Linked DNA regions of Drosophila melanogaster. The protein of the gene in region 1 interacts with the protein of each later gene in a pairwise test. Each region holds a gene or a part of one and is shown on either strand. Other genes may lie near its edges. The genes, in order: LysX and CG9014.

The links.
Region 2: the proteins of LysX (region 1) and CG9014 interact in a two-hybrid assay, tested with the Drosophila melanogaster proteins (one large-scale study listed by BioGRID).

What each region holds. Positions count from the first base shown.
Region 1 is NT_037436.4:1,194,184-1,197,390, forward strand, and holds LysX (lysozyme X), read right to left. Parts: upstream 1,120-3,207; 5' UTR 1,113-1,119; coding exon 684-1,112; 3' UTR 556-683; downstream 1-555. Other genes in the region: Aplip1 (APPL-interacting protein 1), read left to right, coding at 2,360-2,472, 2,754-3,130. UniProt on the Drosophila melanogaster protein: Unlikely to play an active role in the humoral immune defense. May have a function in the digestion of bacteria in the food. May be involved in the clearance of bacteria from the larval gut before metamorphosis.
Region 2 is NT_033779.5:13,721,411-13,725,349, reverse strand, and holds CG9014 (uncharacterized protein), read left to right. Parts: upstream 1-1,707; 5' UTR 1,708-1,818; intron 1,819-1,865; exon of another isoform or gene 1,866-1,874; 5' UTR 1,875-1,912; coding exon 1,913-2,281; intron 2,282-2,339; coding exon 2,340-2,957; 3' UTR 2,958-3,189; downstream 3,190-3,939.

The DNA.
Region 1 (3,207 bases):
TGAGGCGATTAACTTAATGGTGCTGGCTAACTGATTGACCGACAAACGACTGGCTCCCAGGAGCCATCCACTTTCTATTTGCCCACGAGCTAAAGGATTTATGGTTGCCCCAAGGGATGCAGGATGTCCCCCACTCCGCCGATGTGAAGGCAGCCAGACGGAGATGAAGCCCGGAACGGAGTCGAGGTCACGATGAATGGCAGCTCTTGATTTCGGAATAATTAACTTAGACATCTAATTTGAATGGGGGTCTAAACTGTGACTCGGTTTTAATTCGGGAATTGGAAAGGGTAATTTGATCAACACTTAAGAAACAACATTTACATGTGTCTGCTTTAAGAACGTACTTTTTAAGATTTTAGAGTGTTTCTGAACTATTTGTTTTTTTTTATATATTTATAGTATATAGTATAGTATATATAGTATACAGTACATAGTAATTACCTTTCTATATATTATGAATTCGTTGAAAAATTGCAATGACTAATTTTGTTCGCTGTCGCTTATCTTTGATTTATTTGTCCGCACATTTCTTTGTTTAATTACAAATGTCGTACCAGATATTTACTTTTATTTATGTATATATCGTGAATCAACGTATCAAAAAGTATAAACGTATAAAAAGTGTTTATTAGATTGCAAAACAATTACATTTTGAAATGTCCATGGTTAAGAGACTTGAATTAAACAAAGCAATCATCGATCGGGGGCAGGTATCCACTGCAGTAGTGCCAGGTGGACCAGGCTGACCAGCCCTGTTGACCCAGGACCTTTAGGGCACATCTTACGGAACTTTTGATGTCATCGGTCAAGAGAGCGTTGCAACTCACATCGCAGCCATTGTGGGAGAACTTTCCACTGGACGGCTGGCACCAGTACATGTCGTTGATCTGGAAAATGCCATAGTCGTTGGATCCATCGGTGTTGGGAGGCCCCACCACTCCGGTGCGGTAGGAGCTCTCGTGCTCTGCAATGCACGCCCACTTGGACAACTGGTCACGAGAAACACCCATATTGGCCATCTCGCGCGCCAGTGAGCAGCGATCCATGGTGCGACCCAGGACAGCTGGAGTGACTAGTGCCAGGACACAGATTCCTAGGAGGGCTCTCATGGCGAATTGGTTGGATGTCGATGAAGTACTGCGTGGCTAAAGACTGTTCATTCTTTTATACCCGGGGAAATAAAAAAAATCTGATTAAAGATAAGAACTATATTCTATACAAAGAAGAAACCAGCGGTTCTTATTATTGAGGGTATTCAACTAAATCTGGGCTTTCTGGGCACACCTCACAGACTGGATGATGTCGTCTTTGAGCATGTCGTTGCAGCTCGTGTGGCAACCGTTGTGTGAGAACTTTGAACATTGGACCGGATCACCTGAGTTAGTGGTAAGAAAATTTCTTAGGAAAATTATAGGTACCTTTAGATTGTCTGATTTGACTAGGCAACAGAAAAATGCATATCTTGTAGGTAAGTTATGGCAGACTGACGATTTCCATTTCCCCATTTACATTTATCAGTTGGGGTGGCGATTACATCTCCTATCGTATCTTATAATATAAAATAATATAATATAATATAATATATTATAATATAATATATTATAATATAATATATTATAATATAATATAATATAATTGCTGTTTTAGATAGATAATGACCAACCTTATTCATAATTTTATAATTTTCTAAATTAATTGATAGATAGTTTTTGTACTTTTAAAATTAATTAAATAATTTTCGAAATTGCATTTTGTGAAATGAAGACTGATTCGTTCGTACACATTTACTATAAAAATATATGCCCGATAAGAAATCCCCAGCCGGGGGAAATCCCCATTTTCTAGATCCGCCCCTGGCTGTTCGTGCCAAAGCGCAACAGCATTGCAATTCGCAAGTCACCACCATTGGAAACGGGGAGCGGAAGTGACTCACTGCGCAGGCGCGCTTCCTGTCAACCCCCAGGACAGAGTGAATGCCGCTGACCCCCCAACCTTTGCCCTGCCAGCGGTAAACAAAAACAAGTTTGGCTTACCAGCGAGAGAGAGAGAGAGAAATAAAGAGAGAGCTTGCGGATGACAGCTGAAAGTCCCGAATTTCCCTGGCTTGGGCCTCCACTATTTCTGATTTGGCACCACTCACATCTGGAATTCAGACGGGGGCACGCCAGCAACGTCAAGGAAATTATCGATTTTCGCATGTGAAGTGAAAAAAGTGACTCCGTTGGCAAAAAACTGTAGCGCGAGCAGGACTCCAGTGAAAATCTAACCAAAAGCAGTTCACACGGACTAACTAAAAGCCCCAGCTAGCCTGTAGTGGAGGGCGTGGCAGCTGGTCGGACCCTGGTCCCCAAACGACATGGCCGACAGCGAATTCGAGGAGTTCCACAGGCCCATATTTGAGCCACATACGATTGCTGGATTCGGATCAGGAGCAGGCAGCAAGAAGAATAATCCACATGCATTTTACTCGTAAGTTGAAAGGTGAAAGGCTGTGGTAAGAAGCAATCTGGCGAAGCTTGCTGTAGCCAAGACGTGTGCACGTGTCCTGAAGAGCACCCCTTGAAACTGGTTGGGTATCCTTGAAGGGAACTGTTCGCAACAGAAATCACAAAAGTCACTGATGGAACTGTTTAAAAGTATGCAACGAATTGTGTGCATGCCTTTGGACATTCTTATGAATTATTCCAAACTCGCTGTGATTTCTGTGCGATGGCATGAGTTCAGTTTCATCAGTAAAGCCCTTTTCACAGCTTAATTCCCAACGATGACCTGGAGGACTCGCACTCCTCGAAGAGCGATGGCGACGGTTCGGATCAGGAGGATGGCATTGGTCTTGTGGATCACGAGCCCAAGATGCGTCAAGTGGAGGACGATGAGCTGGGCGACGGGCTGAAAGTCACTCTGTCCTCGGACGGCTCGCTGGACACCAACGACTCGTTTAATTCGCACCGACATCATCCGTTGAACCACCAGGATGCGATTGGTGGCTTCCTGGGCATGGACACCAGTGGATTGGGTGGCAATAGTGCACCTGTGACCATTGGAGCCAGCACAGATCTGCTGGCACCCAATACAGCTGCCACGCGACGTCGTCGCAAGTTGCCGGAAATACCGAAAAACAAGAAATGTAAGTTTATTGAAAACTTAGTTCCTGGCTAGAGTATCCTGCATGCAAGTAGTTTCAGGGGCTATGCCGGTTTTCAA
Region 2 (3,939 bases), on another chromosome or scaffold:
GAACAGCAAATATAAATGCAAATAAACATTGTGTGGCAAGCATTTGTGGCTCGTTACATGCTAACACAGAGCCACTCACGTAATGACTGTTTACACGTTGCTAACCTTATTAGTTGGGTTTCGTACATAAATACACTCGGAAAAACCAAACATGATCTTCTTGCACTTAAAAAAAACAGCACTCAAATGTACATATATATTTTATTAACAAAAAAAAAGGCACTTCTATAATATATAAAACATCATAAGCTATTATCCAAATCTTTCATCAGAGTGTGTGCATCCTCTAGGAGCCTTCGAATCATCAATGCTGATTTTCACAAATGCGGTCAGATCAGTTGGAAAAACATTTTTGTGGCGAGCTGTGTATATGCTTACGTACAAACTTATTAAATTTTCCTGCTTGAGTGGTTCGTTTTGTGTTTGCTGGATGATGGGTTTTATCGGAGCCAAGTCAAATGAAAATTGTTGATTATTTTCTAATGCGCTCCATCAGCTCAGAAATGTGAAATATTGCTATTGAACGTCGCAAAGCCAATGGATTGATAAAACGAACACCACACCCCACACGGACTTAATTATTTTGCACAAAATGCGATTTATTAAAGAATATTTCACACCAGCCGGAGTGGGGAATCGCATATCAATTGTGATTTATTCAACTCATCAATTCAAGCATTTCGATTACTGTTTTTCAAGATAAAAACGAAATGAAAGAATGAGTCTTGAATATTATGGCAAACTGAAAAGGCTTGAGCAGGAATTTAAAGTAAACTAAAATGTCAGACTGACAGTTGCATTCGGAGATAAGCATTTGGTAGCACTAGACTGAAATTGCAATCCAACGAAAAGGATTCGATGCAGTAAAGTTGTCACAAACAAAATGCACAAAAAGGCACACAAAAGCAAATGTCATTCTTAGGCAAAACATGAAATTTAATATCCAAGCGAATGACGCTTCCAAGTGAAATTAAAAACCGAATTTCCAGTCACACAATGCCCATTCTATTATACACACGTATGTATATACATTCGAGTTTGCATAGAGCAGTTGATATAGTGTAAATATTTTGACATGGCAATATGTTGTCACAATCATGCCTGTGTGTCGTCTGATGAGTGTTTGTTCGAAATTCGGCCATTGTGGAGCTGAAGATGGAAAGTTTATTTGTTTGCCCATGTCCCAGCATTTGCTGTTAATTTGTTAAAATTTCACTTTATAAATAAAATTCAACTCCTCGCTTCGCTTCGCATCGCTTCTCTGTGCAGGCTAAGTTAAAACGTGGTCGCCGAAGGTTGGCTGGACGTTTGGCATTATTCCGGGTTGTCGTACCATAAGTTTTCCAATTTGCATAACTTCCGCAGCAGTTGGGACTATAAATATGCAAAGGGTTTTACGACCGCACTATATGCAAGTGCCTCAAGAAAACGTTTTCTCAGACCCATTCGCCCCCACCCCACTTGCTCTTGGCCCACTTGGATGGATGACTCCCAGTGTTCTGTTGGTTGTTTGGCTGGTTTCAGTTGCGCTTGAATTGAAATTGAAGTGTCCTAAATGGTAGAAGGCTCAATGAGAGCTGTTTGCATAACAGATGATCGAAAGGCCTAGTATTTCTTAGCTTAAGAAAAGGATTTTTATTTACAAAAATAAACTATATATACTATTTATATAACTATGCATAACTATACACATAGTTGGCTTTTAATCAGATGCCAGCTCGGACACAACTCAGCGCCGACGTAAAAACTAACTTTTTGATCGAAATATTGTAAAAATCGAGTTTCGGATATAGGTATAAGTACATATCGAACTCAGTGGTAAGTGGATGAGAGTGGCTCCATGCCAAAAAAAAATAACATCTCAGATTCTCCAGCGACATAAACTTCGGTATAGAAATCAAACCATTTCGTCATGGGCTTTGATCTAAACTGCATTGTGGGCCACGTTGACGAGGAGCTCATCTGTCCAATTTGCACAGATGTCCTGGAGGAGCCGGTCCAGTCATCGGAATGCGAGCACGCCTTCTGTCGCGCCTGCATCGACAAGTGGATGATCCAGAAACAGATTTGCCCGGTGGACCGCTCCGGGCTACTGACCTCACATCTGGTGCCCGTTTCGCGCCTAATGCGCAACATGCTATCCCGCCTAAAGATCAAGTGCACCTTCTCGCAAAGCGGTTGTGCCCAAATGCTGGCCCTCGAGGAGTTCCGGACCCATGTCGCCGCCTGCGAGCATAATCCCAAGGTGGTTGTCGAGTGCAGCAAGGGGTGCGGAATGAAGGTGAACATTCTGGGAATAACTTGAACTGCTTAAGATAGCTATAATATTCCCGCTAAAGGTACCCAAGGACGAGATGTCGCGCCACAACTGTGTGTTCGAACTGCGCGAGCTGGTGGAGAAACTGGCGAAGGAGGTTTCCGATCTGAAGCAGAAGCAATCCGATATGGAGGAGCAGAGCTCCAGCCAGCGCCGAGAGATGGAGCTGTTCCAGTACTATATCGCAGCACTGCGATCGACCAATCCCATGCTGCGCAACATTGGCGAACAACTGGACCGCTTCTCACTGATGCAGTGGGGCCATGGACTCCCTCTGGCCAACATCCATACGTGGGGCAGTCTGATCTCCACGCCGGACAATCCCATGCACCTGATGGTGCGCGACGTTTTGCGTGAAAGCGGCTGTCCGATGCATATGCTCAATATGCTGGTTGAACGTTGCCACGAGGATCGCTGGCCCGAAGGTCTGATGACGTTGGACGATCGCCGCGAGAACCAACATCTCATGAGTCGGTATGTCACCCGATTGGTGCCCGGTCTGGTCATTGGCAAACCGTGCGTGGTTGTTCTGGGCGGCGAAAACACCCACATGCCGGAGAATCTGCGCCCCATCCTCGGACTGGTCATGATCTTCGTCGACGGTGTGAATGAGGTAATATTTGGCGAAGAGATTATTTAAGCCAATGATGGGTCACCACATCCTGCTTGTATCCTCCACATCTAAATTCATTTTGGTAACACAACACAAAAGCGCAACTGGCTGCCCGTTTTCCACGTCCTTTGTTTTGGAATGATGGTCATGTTGCTTCACTGTCTTAAATTACACGATCGTACTTCAAAAGTCGTCAAAATGAAAAATATAAATATGTTTTATCAATTCGAGTTACGTAAATAGAAAACAAACAAATGGTCGTGTTATTTTTTAATGTCGGACCTTATGAATAATCTGAGGGCTCCCAATACTATCGAAGAGTTTTTATGAAACGTATGTAATTTTGAAATTTTTAAGGTTTTGTTAAACTTCCCTCATCGATTGGTTCAGTGCAGCAACACTCACAGTTTAAAGTTGTCGTTGTAGCTGACAGATATTCTTCTCGGCAATTACGCGGCAATTATAGAAGCTCAGTGAACACTCGGGCGTATGCGTAATGTTGGAGCGAAATTAAATAAACGCATAAGCTGGGATTGAGGTTGCTCCTTCTGTGGGTGGGCGGTTGGTTGGGCTTGCGGTGGGTGCATCAAGTAAAACTTATAATGGAAATGGTAAAAGTTTGGCTGTGCTCGGTTCGCGGCAGTTGGCGACACCATTTGGAAAAGTTTTACAAATTGTACAAAATTTAATTTCCCAGCTGAGATAAATTTTCGGGACCATTACGATTTTAGCCTGCAATTGAAAACGAGATCTCTGATCAAATGAAAATTAATGGACTGCAAGCAGCTTACTTCGATGCGATGAGCTCACATTTGGGCAAATATTGTCCATTGAATGAAGTATACACCGAATTAGTGTCAAATCAAACACGACTCTTTGAACTAATTAAATGGTCCGGTACACACAAAGGCCATGTACGGCTAACTTGATTAAGCCAAGACGACGACGCAGTACAAAGGACAACTAACGAACTAACCACCGAATGCTGCAGCTAATACAATGATAGATG